3 linked regions of the Lepisosteus oculatus genome follow. The protein of the gene in region 1 interacts with the protein of each later gene in a biochemical or structural test. Links are inferred from orthologs where the notes say so. Each region holds a gene or a part of one and is shown on either strand. Other genes may lie near its edges. The genes, in order: med23, srebf1 and elf3.

Region 1 (6,991 bases):
AAATGCTTTTCAGGTTTCTATTTGAAAATGTAACATGATCAGGCTTTAAAGAGTCTTCAGTTGGTGAAGCACCTAGAGGGAACACAATACATTTTAACAAGTAAAAAACTCATTAACTGTATATGGTAAAACATATGTATATAGGATAGCATATACTTATGATAACAATGTTTAAAAGTAATCCAATACTGTTCCTAGTGCGGCAGTCTGGAGTCCTGAAACTATGGGATGCAAGGATGGATTTACAGATTTAACTCTGTATAGGATTTCCGGTTCTCGCAGATAAATAAAACCTAGTCAAGAAATTGGTCTTTAAGTATCTGAATTAAACATTTAACCTGATCCAAACAACAGAAAATAATATACTTAAAATCTTATAAATATATTATATAAAATGTTTTTAATGTTCAGTATAAGCATAACAAAATATTTTTCTGTTCAAATAATAGTTTTCACCATTGTTAATAGTTCAGTGAAAACAACAGATATGAGATACATACAGTAAATATTTACTTTACTTAATTTTGATTTAAGGATAATGGCTACTCACCAAGTTCTCTGAGAATAACAATCAGTGTTAGACAATGCAGAAACATATTTGTCTTCACACTATGCCTTGATTTACAGAATCTCTAAATGCCGCATTTTGGTGGTACTGTATATATGTAGTATTTTCGTACTGTCTAGAAGTTCCTCAATTCTTTTATTCGACCAATCGAATTCCCTCATCCTCCTCCTCTCTGTGCCAAAATGATTTGCATAATAAACCTAATAAACAAGTGAACATTTCTGCTTTCTGATTCTTTCTGTTGATATGCTTCCCTAGTAAAAGAAAAGAAATCTATATTCCTGTCATCTCACTCTTTGCTTTGAACATTTTGTAGCATGAATCAATTAAATTAAAATATATGCTTCTTAATATTTGAAAGTCATTTCAGTTTATTTCTACAGTTGTTTGAACAAATTTGTTTTGTTAGTAAAAATGGAGGGAGATTTTGTTGCAATCTGCAGTAATCCTTCAGGAAAGATAAGATGTTCATATTTAAAATACATTACACAAAAGTCAAAATACATCTGGGCAAACTTCTACAGTAAAAGAGAAGCAATGATGATGATGCTGCTGCTGCAGCTGCTGCTACTGCTGCTGATGATGATGGAAATCTTGTCCTATTTTGTCCTAAGCTAGAGAAAAAATGTTTCTTATATGACCAAAATTAAGTACTTTGTTGAGCTGAAGTAATAACTTTCAGCTGTTTTGTGTGTCATGATGCTGTGGCTTTCATGTTAAACACTTCTCATTACAAAAACAGTTATCTTCCTCTTTACAGAGAAGAATGTAGAAGTACCAGAAGAACAGAGCTTCCTCTGTATGGATGCAGGTGACAGAAAAAGGGAAGATTCACGGGATCATATATCAATAAAAGTCCCCTAGCCACAAATTCAATTATTCTCTCCATTGTTTTGAATTTCTTAAAAATTGGTCATAAATAGAACTTGAACTTGAACTTGAACTTTATTGCAATATGTAACCGGTACTGGTACAATGGAATTCTTACTTACAGAAAGTCTCTCGATTATAAAACAAGTGTAAAAAACAAAACAAAGTGCAAACAGTGCATCAAGACAATGTACAAACAAACAATAGACAATGTGCAAGTAAACATGCAGACAGTTTGAATGTAAACAATACAGACGTGTAAACAATGACTGGAGACGTACAATTAATAAATTACAACGAGGTAGATGGTGATGGTGTAGGTGTGGTCCGAGGGGGATGGCTAAATGTGTTCGCCAGTCTCACTGCTTGTGGATAGAAGCTATTGAAGAATCTAGTGGTAAGTGTCCGTATGCTCTTATATCTCTTGCCTGAGGGCAGTGGGGTGAAGAGCTCATGCCCTGGGTGGTGACTGTCCTCTGTGATGGCCAGAATTCTACCACGGCAGGGGTCCTCATAGAGCTGTTTAATCTCGGTGAGACCGCAGCCGATGATCTTCTGGGCCATATTGACCATTCTCTGCAGTGCCTTTCTTTCTCGCGAAGAGGTGTTGCCATACCACACGGTGATCCCGTTGGTGAGGACGCTCTCGATAGTGCAGCGATAGAAGTTCACCAACACATGTATTGGCATCCCCCATCGCTTGAGGCACCTCAAGAAATAAAGGCGCTGCTGAGCCTTCTTCATGATAGAGTCAGTGTTCACAGTCCAGGTTAGATCTTTAGAGATGTGAATTCCCAAAAACCTAAAGCTGGTGACTGTTTCCACTTCCGTTCCATCAATACTTAGTGGGCTGTGAGTGTGTGGCCTGTGTCTCTGAAAGTCCACTATTAGCTCTTTCGTTTTCTTTATGTTCAAGTCCAGGTTATTGCTATGACACCACCTAAGCAGCTGTACAACTTCATCCCTGTAAGTGGACTCGTCATCATCACTGATCAGTCCTATTATAGTGGTGTCATCGGCAAACTTGATGATGCGGTTATTGCTGTGTCTTGCTGTGCAGTCGTGAGTAAATAGGGAGTACAACCTTGGACTCAGACAGCAGCCTTGTGGGGTTCCAGTGCTCAGGGTGAGTGGTGTTGATGTTTTATTGCCTATCCGCACCACCTGTGGTCTCTCGATAAGAAAGTCCAGCAGCCAGTTGCAGACAGAGTTGCACAGACCTAATCCCCTGAGCTTTGTCACCAGTTGACAGGGTATGATGGAATTAAATGCTGAACTGTAGTCCACAAACAGCATTCTCACATACGAGTTCTTAGTGTCCAGGTGTTCCAAGGCTGTATGCAGAGCCAGGGAGACAGCATCATCCACTGATCTGTTGTTCTGGTAGGCGAACTGCAGGGGGTCCAGGGACTCTGTGATGGAGGAGTTGATGTGTGACAACACCAGCTTCTCCAGGCATTTCATCACCACAGATGTTAATGCTACTGGGCGGTAATCATTCAGGCATGTCACTTTTGTCTTTTTGGGGGTTGGAACAATAGTGTTTTTTTTAAAGCAGGTGGGGACCATGGACTGTGACAGGGAGGAGTTAAAGATGTCTGTAAACACTGTGGTCAGCTGGGCTGCACATGTCCTCAGGACGCGAGGTGGTATCCCATCAGGCCCTGCAGCCTTACGGATTTTCACCCGTAGAATAGATATTATGATTTCATTTGCCAAACCGCTTTATACCATACTGTGTCGCAGGAAGCTGGAGCCTACCGGGCAGGCAATGAGCGCAAGGCAGGGTACACCCTGGGCAGGACGCCAGTGGACTGCCAGTTGAGAGCTGAAGGGGGCTAATAGCTGCTGGCTTATTGGTATTGTCTTTATTAAAAATAAATAAATGATGAAATGGAAAGACAAACTAACTTTAAGATAATGTATTACTTTAAGATAATATTATATAAAAGAAAGTTGATTATTATCACAATAATAAATGTAATTCTTGAACTGTACCAATTGTTTAATCTACTATTATTTCAACCATCTGTAGTTAATATGATCATGTTATGGCCTGAAATGCCAGTCAACAATGTTTTATCCAACAGTTAAGTTATTGTTTTTTGTATCTGGGTGGCAGCAATGTAGAAGCCCCGCTGTCTAATTTTGAGATGATTAATTTCTGGAGTTTGTATGCTGGACATAGGCAGAGACTTTTTAAACTTGTGTGGCTAGAGGTCCTCTTTTTAAGACATCCCTCTTACACACAATTATGGAAAAGAAATACAACAATCACTGGAAAGTGCATTTAAAACGGAGAACAGGAGGTCTGTACACTGCGGGGTACAGGAGTGTGGAACAAGCCAGCTATGCTGTTGAAGCAAATAACCTGGCTTCCTTCAAGAAACATCAGGATAAGACAATACAATCATTCGCTGTGTGGTACATCGGTATTCTATTCTAGGAACTAATAGTAAAGCCTCGATGTGTTTGTTCGGACTATTTTGAAGGAAGCACCACTTCCTGTGTAGATATGCATTGTTGAATATTGGATCTGTAATTTTGTTAAGCAGGAAAAAAACATCGTGATGTATTTGCATGACAGGGAAACTTTTATATTTTCAGATTCGTAGGACGAATATTTTAGAGAAATGGCCATACCAATGGAAACCCAGCTCCAAAGCATTTTTGAAGACGTTGTGGTACGATTTCCTTTGTTAAATTTCACGTTCACCAAATCGAAGATTTTTAATTGTCTTTATTTGCTTTCTTAAAGTGCTTTTAATTTCTGTTTTACTTTGATTTTTCCTTATAACATCTTTTAATATTATTTTCTTAAAATTTGTTTCCGGTAGCATTGTGGTTGTATCTTTCCTGAGTGGTAATTCATGAGCTCGATACTTTCATAACAGAATTGATGCAGATCCTGCAGAGAAATGAAAGGCGATTGTTTCGTATTTGACATTAAAATTAATATTTAAACCTAAACTTAAATGCAACTCAAAGTTATTTTGTCGTACAATTCTACATTTAAACTTCTCACTTTATGACTTTTTCTTTTTAGAAAACGGAGTTCATAGAAGAAGCATTTGCTGGGTAAGCACTTTATACAGCTACTTTTATAAATCTAGCGCTTGTATTTGCAATAATTTATACTTTTGTACTATGTTATCACTATCTGTGGCTGAAAAGGTGATCAATACATTTGTCTTCTCCCAAATTGATTACTCGCTGGGGTATCTAAATCTACATTGAACAAACTGCGGTATGTCCAAAATTCGGCAGCCAGAATCCTGAACAGGTCTAGTGAAAGTGTTCAAATTACTCCTATCCTGGAGTCCTTGCACTGGCTTCCTGTCAAATTCCATGTGGACTTTAAAATCCTCATGCTCAGCTACAAGGCTCTGCATGGCTTGGCACCTCAGTACCTGTCTGAAGTATTATCGCCCTACCCCCCACCTTGCAACCTTCGCTCTTCTAATTCTGCTCTCCTTACTGTCTCCCAAGTCCATCTACACTCTATGGGTGACAGGGCCTTCTCTTGTTATGCCCCCAAGCTCTGGAACTCTCTCCCAAAGGATATCAGAGTCAACTTCTCTAAACTCCCTCAAATCCAGACTCAAAACCTTTTTCTTTAGAAGAGCTTTACTTAACTGGTTCCATTCTTCACCCCTTTGCTTTTCTTAGTACCACCATTCATGGTCTCTTCTGTGTGTTGTAATTGTGCTTTGTCTTGTGTATTCTTTTTATTTATTGTTGTTGTCATTCTGTAAAGTTCTTTGAGAAGCCACCTTTAAAGGCGCTATATAAAATAAAGTTACAAGTAATAGGTTTATTCCATGCTGAAATAAAGAAGAGAGAAAATACAACATTTCGGCCGTGGAGCCTTCTTCAGGTGTGTGAAGAAGAAGGCTCCTTCACACCTGAAGAAGGCTCCACGGCCGAAATGTTGTGTTTTCTCTCTTCTTTTTTTCAGCATGGAATAAACCTATTACTTGTTCCTTTGCAGCCTACGCATGCTGACGCAGCTACCCACCTGAACTATGAAATAAAGTTTATTATTATTATTTTCTGGAACTGTGTACCTTGGTTAATAGATTTTTATGGGAACATGAATGAATTAGAACCTCATGTAGTTGTATTAAAAGACGTGTTATGAGTGTAAATATACACAAAACCAGATAAGCATGCATTGGTTTTGTGAGTTTTATCTATATTTGAAGATAGTTTCTGCTGCATTCATTTTCCTATGAATTCAAAGTTGTTAGCTAATTATAGCTCTGTGATCATGTATAAAATAAAAACGGAAATCTTAATTAAAAGCAATTCTAGCATTGCAATGATACAAAGATTAGTTCAATAACAGGAAGAACAGTAAAAAAATAAGGCTTCTCATATGAAAGCATGATAGAGTATTTCTACCTTCATATCTCAGGAGGATCTCCCTCTTTCATTGTGGGGGAATTCAAATGGAAATGGCTGATGTGTTTTGAAGCCATAAGCTTGTAGTTCAGCACCTTTTTTTATTGTATAAATAATCAAGGGGATAGACCCCTCATAAATATGACTCCAGAAAGGGAGCATTCCAAATCACTGCAACAGAAAAAAACCTGTTGTACAACAAGCTTCGAGCATTTTGGCTTCTGTTGATATTAGGCACTGTAAAATTGTATTCCTTAAAGAATGCGTTTAAATATTGTACTTTTCATATTAAAACTATTTTTAGTTCATTTTTAGTTCAGATGGGTACAGTATCTGTGTCAACATGCGTAGGCTGCAAAGGAACAAGTAAAGGTTTATTCCATGCAGAAAAGAGAAGAAAGCACAGTGTTTCGGCTGTGGAACCTTCTTCGGGTGTAAACATTTTTAGTCTGTGAGCTCAAAATGTAAGCCAAATGTTTTGTTACAGGTTGTCATTGTTCCCAGTCCTTTTTTTTGCAATTTGCAATGCAAAGTGACTCTTCCACAGTGAAACATTGCAGCTTCAATTTCTTACAGTATGTTTATGGACAATCCAGAAGATGAGCAAACAAAGCTGGTCAGCTGTCTTGGTGCCTTTCGGCAGTACTGGAGCACTCTTCCCCAGGTGAGACATAACCTGGAGCTGAATGGCTGCCTGTCTTTCTCATACAGTATCTCTGATTATTTGCTGAACACTATTATATATAAAATGGTTTATCTTTGCGTACAATTTCATTTTTAAAGTGGGGACATGTAGTTTTACCACCAGAGGAAATAAGCAGTGTTATATAATGGCCACAATTTTAAATGAGCTAGTGTATCAGGACTGTGAAATATCTCTGCTGTAACAGCGTGTCTAGAACAAAGAAGATTTGTGTTGGATGAAGAATCGCACAGTCAGTCCCCAGTCTGATCAGTACTTCTTCCTAAATCGCTCATTATTGGTTCTCTGTGGAACACTGGGATTGCGCATGGATCCCAGTTAGGTTTTGGAAAGTACAGTTATTTTTCTGAACCTTGGATGTGCTAACATTCTTCTTACAGGATTCCCACGACCAGTGTGTACAGTGGATTGTGCGATTCATTCATGGCCAGCACAGCCCCAAGAGG
Region 2 (8,025 bases), on another chromosome or scaffold:
CTCCATGTCCTGGCTGTTGATGAGCTGCAGCATGTCTGCAAAGAGAGAGGTCAGAGGTCAGAGGTCAGATGTCAGCGGTCAGCGGTCAGCGTCACCGGCTCGGGGGGCGAGACAGACAGAGCAGGAGCAAACTGATCGATCAGAACGCGAAACATTGGCAGACCCTCGGACCCCCTGCCTCCAGACAAGCTCCTCTCAACTCCACATCAGAGGAACAATTTCATACTGTGGAATTTTTTTTTTTTAATCTTGCTCTCCAATCTGAAGATGGCTATTTTAATGGCACTGGAACCTTTTGACTGTGCACCCTGGGTGTCTTTACAACACCACTAACAAGCTACAGGGGTGATAACAGAGCTCGTTAAGGCAGAGCCCTGCGGCCAGTCTGGTCACCGTGATGAACGCGATGGCGCCACTTTCACAGGGCAACTGCGCGAATGACTAATCTGATTAGCTGCGAGTTTAGTCTGAACGGTTAACGGGTGGTGCACCACCAGCCCGGACAGCAGGGGCCCAGTGCCGCTCTGCAGACAGGAGTCTCTCTCGGCTCCTCCGCACCTCCGGCGCCGGCCTGGTCCCACCCAGGTCTGCCCCAACACTGGCAAGATCAGCTTCACTTCACTGACTGCCTGAGCAGGTGATTCGCTCAGGTATTTCAACATCCTCTGCATCAAACATCACAGAGCACTCTGCTTATTGGATCGATGGCTCTCCTAGTGTCGCTGACCTTTAGGACACAGGTGATTTAGGGCAACTGCTAGAGCCCAGGATCAGGGCAGGACCCCTGCCTGAGCTAATTCAAGTACCGAACACGTTCAGCAAGAACAGCAGCTCTTATTTACAAACATAGAATGGCTTCAGGCAGCATTCAGCTCCAAAGAGTACCCGAACAGTGTTCTAGCATGAGCAGGAACAGCAGACAGCCAGTGAGCTCACGACAGAAACCTCCTGCACACAGCAGCCCAGAGACTTCGGCTTCATGTGCCGCAGGTCATCAGGAACCGGGAGGCTGCCACTTGTCACTTCAGCAAATACCGCCTGAAAGGAACGGGTAAAGGTTTATTCCGCACTGAAAGGAAAAGAGACACAACGTTTGGCTGTGGAGCCACACGCCTGACGAAACGTTGTGTTTCTGCTCTGTCCTCTCAGCCTGGAATAAACCCTTACCTGTTCCTTTGCAGCCTGCGCATGCTGGCACAGCTCCCTGCTGGAGCTACACTCTGAAAGGCCCAGCACACCTCTTATCAGGTCATACCTGACCCTGCAGCTGGAAAACCACGAAACGGATCACAACAGCTACGGAGTCTCGTGTACGACTGGGTTCACTGCAGTTTCCAAGCTCAGCAAAAGTGCTGGTGCTGTCCAGGACACAGCACCGTCTTTCAGCCAGTATTGTAGGTGTGAAGGAAAGATGACATACGTCTGTCCACACAGAGGCTTCCCAAGAACAAGCTAATTCCAGCAAGAGACCGCGAGATGCAGCACACAGGTGCGCTGGAAACAGACAGAGAGCCACAGGAACATTAACATTTACCTTCTAAAGTGCAGTCCATACTGCCAGCCAGTGTGAAAGCTGTCTGCTCAGCTGCGAAATCACAAACTCCTCAAGAGCTGCGCGCATCCCCGTGTCCAGAGGGAGCTGAACGTCCTCCCCGCACGGGCCGGGCCGTCAAGCCCACAGAGGAGCACAGCTCCCGTCGGACACGCCTCCCTCACGCCCGCGGGGGGCCGGGCGGTGCGAGCCGTGTTTTGGTATGAGGTGATCGCTCGCAGCCAATGGGACGCGGGCTGGGCGCCTGGCTATGCGGGCCTGCCCCCGGGACACGGCGAGAGAGCCAGCGTGTCTGAGCCCACGGTGTCCCGGGCTGCAGGGTGAACGACCGGGGTTACTATCGGGCAGCGTGTGCGTCTGCTCAGGCGGCGGGGTTACTCGCGGTCATGCACACCCCCCGACAGAAACACGGCGACGAAGCAGCTTCTCCCACGCAGGTCGCGTCACCAGGGGGAGAATAAGAACAATCGCCCTGTAACGCGACAGCGGGACCGAGAAGGAATCGTTTAAGAAAGGCGGTCTCCTGAACACCGCGGGAGCGTGCCCCGGGCCGTGTTCAGCGGACAGGGTCCCCCCTGCAGGCTCGATGACCGGCCCCTGCAGGAAGCCCCCCCCGGGAGACCGCGGCTTTGTAATGAAAGCGGTGCAAATCGTTCAGTGTCTCCCCCGGCCCTGGGTGAGAGAAACACGCGGGTGAACTCCGGGCGGGGGAATGCACGAGAGTAACCCCCGCGTGACGCCACGCGCAGCAGCCAGGGGGGGGCGGGGCGCTCGAGAGCAGAGAGCAGCCCTGCTCCGGACGCTTTGGGGGGCTGGACCCCCGCACTGAGATACCCCAATAACCCGCCTCCCTGCGCCCGGCACCCCGCGGGCCCTGAGCTCGTCTGTCCGAAAGCGCCCCACGGCCCGAGGCAGAGGGGGGTCTCTGGGCTGCTGTGCGCGCAGGGGGACATGTCGCTGCGGACCCCACTGCCAGCCAGACTGACCACAGCTGCGCCGACAGGACAGGCGCGGTGCCCGAGCAGCAGTCCCGGCACTGACAGTCGTGCGAGGCTGCAGCCGGGGTCCGGCTCGGGTCCGGCTCGGGTCCGCACGCCTGCGGGCTTACCGTCGATGTCGCTGAGCAGCGCGGTGTCGATCTCACTGGGCTCATGAAGAGACAGGCTGGGGTCCAGGTGGTCCAGCGACGGGTCGTCAAAGGGCAGGCCGCTCATTTTCGGTTGTTTCTTTTTAACAAGTGTATTCGCAGTTATCCCGAGTTATCACGTGGAAGTTTCCATTAAAATACAACATAAAAAATAAACACAGAAAAGTCCCGTCTGGAGGGGGGGGGGGAGCCCCCCAGAGACGGCAGTAAAGAGTGAAATCAAACTTTGTGACTGATGCGTCTGTCTACTCGCTGCTCTCCTGCTCCTCCATGCTGAGCGCTCACGGTAAACTTGTCCAAACACTGAGCGGAGCGACACCCTAGCCTGCTGGCTGGGAAGCCCCAGACGCACCGCCCCGCAGCTCCGTGACGACCGCGGACTGACGGCGCTCCCGGCCAATCAGCGGCAGAACAGCGGCCATGTGCGGTCTGGCCAGGAGAGGGGGGTGTGTTTCTCACCTGCCCCCCCGAAAAACAGCTGTATCTCTTCTCACCGGTCCAGCCTCATGCATAATAACTGGGAATATTTCTTTACAGATCTGGTACCTCATTTTATTCTGCTTTCTGCCTTTTCATAGTTTTTCTGCTTCTACAGACACCCTCTGACCTCTCTCACTCGCAGCTGCCCGGCCCTTCCCCTGGGAGTGCAGTGTGATGGCTGGGCTCTCCTCTCCCGCTCGCCCGGGACCCTGAGGCTCAGGGGGTGGGTCATTGATGACTGTGGTGAGCTCAGGGCAGGAGCGGCCTGAGAGACCTGTTGCAGGAACAGAGTGGGAGTCACTGAGCAGGGTCTGTGTGCTGGATCACACTGCAGTGCCTGAGGGGGTTTAGTCAGGGTTTAGTGAGTCTCCTGCATCAGCAGCTCAGTTTGGTGACTGTGTGATAACCAGCTCTGCCCCAGGGCCCAACAGCAGTGCGGCTCTATTCTTGAGCTCGGCACCAGGCTGCCATGTGGGATAGGGTCTCTGCCTTGTATGGAAGAAGTGGGTTTTTAATCTGGCACGCCTTGTGGCAAAAGCTATTCTTAATCAGCAATAAAACTAATGTAATTACAGATATTATTATATATTGTTTAAGCCTTTTATCAAACCCCTGCTATGTTTGTGTACCTTTAAAATGTACTACAAAAAAAAATATCTGTTCGCTCACAATCAGTGATAAAAGTCTTCATTTGCTCGGGTCAGGCAGTCGCAGGGCAGCACGGTCCCAGAGTGTACTAAGAACTATGGACTCAACTTCCACGTGGACAGGTGATATTCATGCTAACCGAAGCCGCATCCTGAACAGGCCATGAGCACACAGCCAGCGAGCGGAGCAGCTTCCCAGAGACACAAGCGGCGGCTGCCGCACAGGCGAGCCCCTGTGGGCGTGTCCCCGCCAGCCAATGGGGAGCGGCCGCAGGCGGGACTGCGCGCAGTCAAGTTTGTTGGAGTCGCAGAGGCGGCCCCGCCTGTAGAACCAGCGGCCCCGACCAATGAAAAGCGGCGCACAGTGTGGGGTGATCTGACGTCACAGCTGTGGCTCTGCGATTACATCACGTAATCCTTGCTGGACGGGCGCAGCTCGTTTTCCAGTTTTTCCGGGGGGTAACTTTTAGCACAGGAGGTTTAACACCCGCTAGGAAAGGACTCCCCAGAACAGATCGATTGCAAAAAAAAAATATTTGCTGTTTGTCTTAGTGAGTATGGAGACTTTTACTTTCAATACAAGGAGGGCAGCTCTAAATAAGTTTTAAAGTGTTTGTTAGAGGAAACTCATGCAAACACGGGGAGAACATGCAGACTCCACACAGACAGCACCTTGGGTCTGGAATTGAACGCGGGGGCCCAGAGCTGTGGGGCAGCGATGCTGACCACCCTTTCGAAATGTCCTCCTCTTCCTAACGGAGCAAAGCTTTATTAACTGGTGTTGACCAAGTTCATCAGAGGAGGAACAGCAATGGAATTCGCTTTACAGGGATCACACTGACGTTTTTATTTGGGTTGAGATGTAAGTTTTTTTCAGAGGGACATTTGGCAATTCTGCAAGGGTTAAGTGGCTCATTTTCCAAAGATTCATTAAAACTAAGTTTTAAAAGGACGTAAAAAAAGATCTTCCTTCACCCAAGTTAGCATACAAGGGTTAAAGCTTCCTACCTAAGCAGCTATGCAATAGTCAGGCAATATTAAGGCCAGGATCAGTTTGCATTTTTAGTTTCTAAGTTTTTCAGTAATCCTTCTGTTCTTTATTCCTAATAAATATTTAAGCTATTTCAACACAAATTAAAGCTGAAAGATTTTGCTGTGGTTGTTCAAGTACTAATTCTACTGTACAATATAATGTCAGTTGTGATGTTTTACATAAAAGTTTACATTTAACATTTAATTGGCACTATTTTATGGGTTCACAGTTATTTTAAGGTTTCAGATTCCTAGAATTGTGATAGGAAATGTGTTCTTCAGGTTATGCAGTAATTGGAACACCAGCCTACACTTACACAGGTACAGTATTTCCAAGCAAGAACAACAGAGACCGGAATGTACAGATCACACTGGTAGTGTTTTATTGGAGTTTAACACATGCAAGAGTTCGTACAGCACAGCGCGAAACTTCGGTAACAGCAGCAGTAAGGACAGGCCATTACACACACATGACAAGACTGTTCTCTCTGGGTCCCTGCTGCCCTAAGGGTAAGCTCAGGTGCAGAACTCAGGAAGCAGGCAGAACAGCTTCCAGAATGCACCTGACACCTTCAGGTGAGTCAAGACCTTCATCCAGCCACTTTCACTTCCAAGATTCTACCCCCTGACGTCAGGCACAGAACTGTTTTCAGTTACACAGAACATCATTAGGTGCATTAAACAAAATCAGCACAATGTGTTAACTTCCGTGTCAAAAGACATACTGTATTTGCGAAGATGTGTATCAATTTCTCAAAACGTACGTAACTCCCAGGAATCTTGTGCTGTTTCTCTTTTTAACACCACTGGTTAACTCTGCAACACAAACATTTACCAGCAAATGATGAATTCTGTTAAAAAACTGATAGACAAAAATACGCCCAGAGATGTCAGATATTACATTTTAAGGAGAACCAAAGTGATTTGAAGTTTCTCAGAACATCAGCGCACTCTCCAGGCTCAAACTGCGTAGCACAGACCACTAGGCTCAAATAAAAGGAAATAAGCAGTTACACTTCTATATGTCAGTTTAGTCTTGTAGATATCACAGCTCCTCAACTCTGTTGCAAGGTTAAAAGCTAAGGTACATTACTTTTTTCAAATAAAAAAAAAAACAAAACAAAATTAGATCCAATAAACTTTGTGGAAGAGTGCGACCCAGCTAGTGCACACAAACATGAAGAGTTATACACATTTAACACAAATACAAGAACCTTTCATTTCTTTCTTTTTAATCTTGTAAAACATTTTCCCTAATGCTGATACTTGCAAAGAATATTAAAAACAATAAATTAATCTTATTAAAAGATTTTCTAATGTTCTAAGTGATTACAGATATAAAGATAAATGTCTCAGCTGCAAGCAACCAGAATGATTTTTATAGAGCTCTCTATAATAAAAGTTAAAATTAGGAACTTTTCTGATAGTGTTATATCTTTTATCTCAGCAAAAATGGATTTACAATACACTGTACAAGAAATTCATGTCTGCAAAGTTAAGAAGCATGTTGGAAAAGAATGAACAGCCCAGGAACTAATTTCTTTCCTGCTTCTGATTTTCATTTATTACAAATGCTACAAGCCTACATGCTACATGTGGCACTACTGCTGCATCTCCACAGTAGCCACAGTCACTATGGCAAAACGCCTGTTCTTCAATACCATGACTGAAGAGTTATGGCCCAAAAAGCTGTGAAAAAGACAGACTGTTCGCTATGTTTAGCACAGCTGTAATGATTATCTACACTAAACCCACAGCCCACCTCAAATCATCGCTTAATGACATTTTCATCTCATTGCTTTTTTACCACCTGATCCGCATTTTGAGTTCTAAGGCTTTTAGCTTGATGTACAATTTCTCTATTTAAGCATTCTTCTCTTAGAACCACAAAACTCAGATACCTCTCCTAAAATACATATTTTACTTTTCATACACTGATAGACCCATGTGTTACTGTGTAAGGGACTACATCTGAGGACGTTTTGATATTGGACACACAGGGCATTTTGTTCAGTACTTTTAATTGTTTTCCCTCAAAGACGTCATTTATGACACAGTTCAAGAAACACTGGTGACACCACCAACTAAGACAGCTTTGCGGTGTTCTCTTATATTAAAATGTATACAGTACATCAATAGCTTATCTTCCACTATCCAATTTAATAGTTCTGTTACAATTAACACACGTTAATAAATAGCTGAAATGCACATCTATTTTAGCATCGTCTCTTATTTCATGCTCAAATAGATCTAACTCTGTGGATAAACATCTACAGTAGAGCACACTGCTTTAATGCTATTTCTTAAGGTTTCCAAGTACATCGGCACAATATCAGTCTGTTATCTAATCAGTATTTCCCAGCTCTGGTATATCCATACTTTGTAAATCCACATATTCCATACGGACTGAGTCTAGGTGAAAGGTCAGAATGCACTCTGACTCAGTGAAGACAGTACAGTAGGGATGGTCGACACAGCAGTGATGCAAGTGTGCTTTCAGGCAGTGAAGGGTAAAGCTCATCATTATCACTTATTGCCCATTTCCTAGGTTTCACAGTCCTGCACAGAAAGATACTCTCCTTTGAAACTTTTTGTTAAATCTTCTGCAGAATGGTTAATCTGTCATTTCTCTGCTTCACCCTGGTGTAGAAACCACGCCCCAAGCCTCTGCTTACATCTCCCTGGCTTTCCCATCTAAAAGCATCTCAGGCTGGTTTGTCCTTTCCACTGACATGAATCCACTTTGCACAAAACCTTTAAAAATAGCAGGTCAAGAGTCCAGAAAGAATTACAGATGGTAGTTGTGTAATCTCATCTACGTCTACTGAAACACTGCCAACTGACAGGCTTCAAAACAGGGAAAATATTTTTCTTTTAAAAATAATTAATCACATTTATACAAATGTCCCCTTTAAAATTCACACCGAGAAATCCCACAAGACTATTTAATGGGAATAGGCTAGACCCTAATATATAACAAAACCCCTTTCAAACTCAATTAGATAAAATATCTGATGCTTTGACACAACTGTTGTCAAACAAAGGAAACTGCCCTGGCTCCTCTTCAGAATTATTTTTCTCTGTGAAAACAAATCTTGTGCTAAATATTTAAGAGTGCATTTAAAACACTGAGGCTGGAGATGTAGGTGCCCTGTGTACCATGGCTT
Region 3 (6,977 bases), on another chromosome or scaffold:
GGGGTGAGGAAGGGAAGTCCATCTTCCCCTGCTCCCTCATGCCTTGTACATGCTGTCTCTCTCACACCTGAAGAAGGCGCTACAGACAAAACACTGCCTTTCAGCCTGGAACTGACCTCAGCTCCCGGCACTGAAACTATTTCTGACACTTTCAATGTTTAAAAGCAGAGGCTGTTTGTATTATAAAAAGGGCATTTACATGTTATCTGTTTGTCTGCAGTTGCTGTCTTCACGCGGGGCACATTCTCACATTGTGGCCCCACACACAGACTTATACACACTCAGAAAACAGACCAAACTGCTCGCTGTAATATGTCAAACTTCCACAGAACACAGACCAAAGAGCACCAGTCTGCAAAACCCATTCTGGACTACTCAAGGACATTTCTCTTGAACCCTGCAGCCTGGGGTGCAGCCTGCAGAGATGGAAGAACGAGACACCCGCTCATTTACCCCGGGCTAGCTCAAGTGCAAACTCAATGCATCGCCTCAGTATGGCTGCAGGACTGCTTACAAACACCAGATAGCAGCACAAATCCGGTCAAAGATCACGACACACCTGTTACCTCATTCTTGTCTTATGAGAAAATCTAAGTGCTGTTTATTGTAAGTCTTAAGCAAACTTTCTAAGAATTTACGTCACAAAGACAGGATTATCTCTACAATGCAATCGGGCAAGTTATATTGTTCCTTAATTATAGCTGAAACCTGAGCTATAATGCCATCTAGACTGTGCCTTATTTGGAATCTTTCTAAATTTAAGTGACCACATTGTGAGACAGCTATGTCACTCACCAAAGCTTAATGTTTTAAAATGATATGATATTTAATATGATCATATCATAATTGTATTCATTTCTTGCTTTGTTATACATTTCCTTCAGGTTTAATAATTATTTTAATGCATGGGTTTTTAATTGCAGTTTTCATTGTTTCCTACACAAAACGTATTGTTTGTTATCGCTGTAATGGCTGACAGGCTGGCTAGCGATGTCACTGTGTTACCATGAGCTCACTCTGCACCTTACCAATCCTTCCCTGAGGTCCAATACCCATACCTCCGCGTTTTGAAAGCCAAGGAGGATTTGGAATGGAAGACTCACTTTCCTCCATCCCTCTATTTTCCAACCTCTTCATCTCTTTCAGGGTTCTGGGGAAACCGAAGGACTGGACGGGACGCCAGTCCATCAAAGGGCAGACAGACACAAACACGCACGTGCTCACACTCACAGCGGGGCCAAAACTAAATAGAAACTAAATAACGTACCAGCATGTCTTTGGACTGTGGGAGGAAACTAGAGCACACAGAGGAAACCCAAGTGAACACAGGGTAAAAAAAACAACATAAACACAGGGAGAACATAGAAACTCCACACAGAGAGCACCCCAGGAATTGAAGCCAAGGCTTAACCCTAACCCTCGGTACTGGCTACCAAACGTCTTACACAAACAGCCTATATTTTTGTAAAACAGGCTGTTGGACAGTGCTGCCGTGGTCATGTCCGATGTGGCGCAGCGGCGCTGTGCTGGAGACTGAGTGTGTGCGTGAGTATCAGAGGAGCTCTGCACTCGCTCCTCTCATGGACAGTCTTCCTGAGGGGCTGGTTTCATCGCTGGCAGATGTCGGACTAACTGGTGATGTCAGGGAGATTGTGATTTGGGGTGAAAAGCCCAAGACAGGTGACTACTCTATTGGGCCCATATTTAGGCTGAAGCATGGAGGAGGGTCAGGGGTCTGCGTTTTCCAACTGCAGGGCCATGGGTTTCAACCCCCAGGTGGGACCTTGCCTCTGCACCTTGAGTGAGGTCACTGACACAGGCGGGCGGCTCCAGCGAAATCCCCAGCTGTTTAAATGTAAGGCAATCTGGATACATGAATCAGACAAATTCATTCTTTATCTTGTGTGGCTGGCTGTTTGATTAATCGTGAATGCTCGCAAAAAGCAGGCTTCAACAACACTGATGATAATTCTGGTCTAAAACAAACTTCACCTTTAAAGCACAAATACATTACTCATTTGTAAACAATTGTAAAAAAGTGAAAATGTGACGATGAGACGTTTGGTCCCACACATACACACACAAGCCCCCATGTCCCTCCTAGGACCTGCACTGCCCAGATCAGCGCGCTCCTGCAGTCTCCTCATGTCGGGACAGGGGAGACGCAGTGCAAGGTGAGTACTGTAGCCTGCCGGAGCAGCCAGCTCTGCTTGTTTGTAGCCAGTGCTGCTTGTTTATTGTTCAGGCTCATTGAGTCAGTGTTGCGGAAACTGGAAAAACTTGTCTTTTTGTCTGCTGCCCCCGCAATGCACACAATGGACCCTCTTGTTCCCAGGGGGTCTTCAGGGTTGAATGCTGGTTAAACATCAGATGCATTGACTAGGAATCTGCTTACAAAACCCCTGGAGTTTCTCTGGTTACTGCGCTGTACTGACTAGACTAGCCGGTTGTGTCCCAACTTTTACTGCACCTCAGGATTCTGTGCCTTCGCCCCATCGGCCAAAGGAAATTTTTACCATTCCCTGACAGCGAACTCAGAAATACCTTTTAAATATGACTGGCTGATGTGTATTCTTCAGAACCAAGCCCCGAAGGAAACGTGCCCCAGTAGGTTGTGCTGACTGGTTCTCGTGGTGTTCTTGTTTCTCAAGCCTGGCCAAGCTTGGTGTTTGTTGTGGCTGTGATTCACTGTGTATCGCAGATCGTTCCCGTGTTTGTATCATATTAGACTAGAATAAACATTTACAAGATCTCAGCAGACTCTGTGTTGGGAATCAAACTGGAAGACACTGGTGCGTTCCAAATCACTGCAGGGGAAAAGAAACTAGGGCTAATTAATATTTGACACTGCTATTACAGCTGACATATGCTCAGCCTCAACAACATTCGCTCCGGAAATAATAAGGAATTTACGTACCAGTTAGAAAGAGCCCCTTGGCAGCACTAAAATTAAACACACACTCCCTCAGTGCTAGTCGGCAAAGTCCACCACCTTCCTGCTCTACTGATGTCCTGGGGCTGTGCTGGGCATTTCATAGTGGCACTTCGAACACAAATCTGCACTGTGAAAGAAGAGAACCAGCTGATGGAATCTGCTTCTCAGGAACGCCTCAAATGATAGAGCATCCCTTCCAGTTTTCTGTCTCGTTATTGCTTTTCTAAGGCAAATGCAAACAAATAAGAAATGTATTTCTGCTTTACAGTAGAAGTGCAGTATGTCTGAGCCCCAAATCCCCCCTGTGCTCAATGTGTTGTGCATCTTTCACACCCTGAATCAAAGTCCTTTAACGGCCCCCTTACTGGAGCGCAGTGCAGCACAGCAGCCAGGCCGGTGGACCTTGATCAACATTCTCTATTGACAGGGTGACATCATCTTGTGAAGTTTAACTGCAGGAGGCAGGAGAGGTGGTAGCGGGCTGGCGGAGGTGAGAAAGGACAGCGAAAGCAGCTGCCTCAGAAATGAAATAACTGGTGAAGGCAGCTCAGAGGGCCTTGACACGGAGAGGCCTGTCGGGATAATAATTAAGACAAAGCGCTGCTGCGGCCGGGTGGGAACCTGGCAGAGGAAATGGACCAGATCCACTTTGTTTCCAGATGCGTGTCCCCTGGCCGCACTCGGCACTGTCTCTGGCGGGAGAGGAGATCTTTACAGACTAGGGAGGGGGGGGGGGGATATCAGACCCTGAATCCTGAATCCTACCCCTGCCCTTTCTTTCCTGTGGTGTGCAGGAGGTGTGGCTGCACAGCTATTCAGGCACCTGTTCTTCATGCAAATGTCTCTTCTCTCCAGCGGAGAGCAGCCCGGTGTGGAATTCCCCGCTCACCTGGAGCTCCACCCCCCTCAGCAAGAGCTATAAAGCGAGCGAGGCTGGCAGCTCGCAGGTATTGGTGAAACAGGTGCACTCAGGGCCGTGAACACAGCAGCGATCTGGGGAGTAACAGCGCCACAGGGATCACCTGTACTGGATTATTTCTCTCGCTCTTCAACGGCTTTTTAACCTCCCTCTGTTTGATCTAGTGTCCGGCGCCTGGTCCTGTTTCAACAGGTATGGAGAAGTGTTTCTTTTCCTCTGCCATGCCAATGCCTGCTGCTTGTGCGTGTGTGTAAATGCGAGTCAGCTCATGCTCCGGTACAGCAGCTGTGTGTCCGCTTTTGCGCAAAAAGCAGAACTGAGCTTTCTCGTGATCCTAGAGGGATTCAAACTGCTAGGATATTGGATTCAGAAAGGAAATCTGGCAAAAATAAAGTTTCAGGCTGCTTATTGTAAATTACTCCAGATAACATATTAAAAAAATAAGATTTTACCTTGAGGAGAGATGAATCAAGCCAGCAGTTTTGCCTTGCCTATAAAATTAAACAACATTGAGTAAGCTCTACAAAGCACCATTATAGTAAGTAAAATTACGCAGGCAAAGGTATTAAAAATCGCAGCTCTTTTATGTAAAATTTACAACGTAGGATAGACACATATTGCGGAATTATCGCGTATTAACTCTTTATAACTAGTTATATATTGTTGTAGTCTGCAAACGTTTTTTTTCCCCAAAAATCAGATAATAATCTCACAGTACATGTGAAATGTAAATGTGATCTGATAATAGTCATGAAATACATGACACATGTAATCCTCGTGAATTCCGAGAATGAGAATGTAAATTAGCGCTGTCCGTGTCGCTGCGCCAGAAAGAACCTTGTAAACAATCTAAAATAATTACGCGACGGGTTTATGAAGTTCGAAGTCAGTAGCTATGGGAGACGATGCAGTGTCTGCCTGGGCGATTCCTTTAGCTGCTAAATGCACCGTGTCATCAGCGATTCCGGGACATCTCAGTCCCATTGCAGTGTCTGGATGCGTTTCTCGAAATAAAAGATTAATTCACCGTATTCCCGTTCCGTCCGCTCTGTAGTGCCAACATCAATTGATTAAAAACAATTAATCAAAGGGCACGAGCATAATTTTCAGACGATTTACAGATGTATAATCGGTGTATTTTTAAGCAGAAACTTTAAGCCTGTCAAGGAGCCCCGTCAAGGAAAAAACAAACTTGAGGCTGAATTTGATAGCGAATTTTAATATCTGGAGTAATAAATTAATAGCGGTTGTAAAGTGGTATTAACAGTACTTCAGCTGCCTAGTGTGTGGTTATTGTAAATGCTTTGGTGTGGAGACGGTGACTGTATGAAGTATGAATTCTTGTAATAACTGATTTTCTTACTGGCTGCACTGCAGAAGGAAGAACTGATGTCGGCGACTTGCGAGCTCAGCAGCATCCTCACCAAAGCCAACCACGCCATGTATCAGATCTCGGACCCCGGGCAGCCCGCGGGCAGCCTGTCCCTCGGCGACAGCAAGGACTCCCTGCAGCTGCTGACCAGCGCGCAGCTGCCCGCAGAGCTCCTGGGTAAGACAGGGTGAAGACACCAAACACGGCTACGCCAACAGAGACTGAACAACAGGCTTATCACAGTGGCGCCTGGCGATAAAATCAAAGAGCGGGAGAGAAAAAAAACACTGTTTTCTTAACTACATTTAGCACCCCAAACATTATTTGCAGACGTGATTAGCGCGCAGGTAGCGTGACCACCGTGATTGCTCACAGCGACTGTTAGCTTGAGTAACTAGGTTAATGGCTCCCGATAAGCGCGTGCCAGTTAATTGCCTTTCATCGAAACCATAAAGCGCAGCTATTAACGCGCCTGAGTCTCCACGGGGGGACGAGGGCGGGATTTATTAGCAGGAGAAGACACCTGGAATCGAGCCCGGAAAGCCGAGTGCAGAGCCGTTAGGGATGGCGCGCACAAGGCTGGTGACACAGCATTCCTGTTCAAAGTGTCGCCCAGAGCCATCATAAGCTCGACGAATCTTCCCGATTAATTAATCCCCCCCAATAATTGTTGACCTGAATTTAAAGCCCACACGCATGGATTTCGGAGCTCTGGAAATGTTCATTTCCTAACTCGTTTTTAAATTTCATACAAGGTATAGTTCTCTCAGTGATGTATGATGAGTTTTTTACTTTGTGTTCTGTCAATGTCACAGCATCTCACTACTAAGTAGTTTGTGTCCAGCAATAGTCTGTACTGCTGTTTTGTTAAAGACAGTTTGAAAGCACAAGGAAATAACAGCACTCCGTGTTTCCAGTGTTTTAAATCGCTGCGGAGCTCGGGGGAAGGTGTCTGGTCACGACCTGCTCGGACAGGGAGTCTGAGGCCTGTCTGCGCTTGGTTTTCAGGCCCCTGCAAGTGGTACAACACTGACCCGCAGTTCTGGAGCAAGCAGAACGTGCTGGAGTGGATCAGCTACCATGTGGAGGAGACCAAGTTCGACGCCAGCACCCTGAACATGGCCTACTGCACCCTGGAGGGGTCCGTGCTGTGCCAGATGTCCCGGGACACGATGCTTTCCATGTTTGGGCCACTGGGGGACCGACTGTACCACAGCCTGCAGGACCTGAAGGCGAAAAACAGTAAGTGTCCTCAGGGATCAGAGAGAGCTCAGAGACCTTTCAAGTCCACATGAACAGCACAGTGCAAACTGGGCAACTCTCCACAGGGAGCCCGGCTCCAGGGAAATAAACCCTTTTTATAAAAAAAACAGACTAATTTTACTCAAAACGTCTTTTCTTTCGGGTTTGAAACAATCACCTCAACAAGACAGCCTGCCTCACACACCTGCAACACAAAGTGCTTGAGTGGAGCGTGTCTGATTTAGTGCTCCTGCTCCAGCAGAGGCTCTGTAGTAAGAGGGACCGTCTCTGACCACTGCCTCTCTGCTGTTTCAGGTGTTGATGACATCACCAATGACATTCTGAACACCCTCTTCACTGACCTCCCGGAAATCTTTGCCGAAGACACCTACAACCTCCTGCCTACAGTTGTTGTGGCTCCAGGACCCGGTACGAGAGGACTTTGTTCTGGTCAATCGATCACCTGTTCAGAGACAAGCCAGACGTCTTAGTTCTGACTGCAGTCACAC

What was found.
Region 2: the proteins of med23 (region 1) and srebf1 form a complex in vitro, tested with the Homo sapiens proteins (2 studies listed by BioGRID). The link is inferred for Lepisosteus oculatus from reciprocal best matches to the Homo sapiens genes MED23 and SREBF1.
Region 3: the proteins of med23 (region 1) and elf3 form a complex in vitro, tested with the Homo sapiens proteins (4 studies listed by BioGRID, with this or other methods). The link is inferred for Lepisosteus oculatus from reciprocal best matches to the Homo sapiens genes MED23 and ELF3.

The regions. Positions count from the first base shown.
Region 1 is NC_090697.1:2,620,316-2,627,306, forward strand, and holds the start of med23 (mediator of RNA polymerase II transcription subunit 23), read left to right. Parts: upstream 1-3,928; 5' UTR 3,929-4,071; coding exon 4,072-4,122; intron 4,123-4,484; coding exon 4,485-4,516; intron 4,517-6,418; coding exon 6,419-6,506; intron 6,507-6,925; coding exon 6,926-6,991. Other genes in the region: interleukin-20 receptor subunit alpha-like, read right to left, coding at 1-72, 551-596. UniProt on the Homo sapiens protein: Required for transcriptional activation subsequent to the assembly of the pre-initiation complex. Component of the Mediator complex, a coactivator involved in the regulated transcription of nearly all RNA polymerase II-dependent genes.
Region 2 is NC_090714.1:17,558,230-17,566,254, forward strand, and holds the start of srebf1 (sterol regulatory element-binding protein 1), read right to left. Parts: upstream 3,020-8,025; 5' UTR 2,767-3,019; coding exon 2,661-2,766; intron 1,684-2,660; exon of another isoform or gene 1,554-1,683; coding exon of another isoform or gene 1,535-1,553; intron 36-1,534; coding exon 1-35.
Region 3 is NC_090700.1:40,361,048-40,368,024, forward strand, and holds the start of elf3 (ETS-related transcription factor Elf-3), read left to right. Parts: upstream 1-3,874; 5' UTR 3,875-4,046; intron 4,047-4,306; exon of another isoform or gene 4,307-4,346; intron 4,347-5,231; 5' UTR 5,232-5,243; coding exon 5,244-5,403; intron 5,404-6,234; coding exon 6,235-6,468; intron 6,469-6,783; coding exon 6,784-6,897; intron 6,898-6,977. UniProt on the Homo sapiens protein: Transcriptional activator that binds and transactivates ETS sequences containing the consensus nucleotide core sequence GGA[AT]. Acts synergistically with POU2F3 to transactivate the SPRR2A promoter and with RUNX1 to transactivate the ANGPT1 promoter.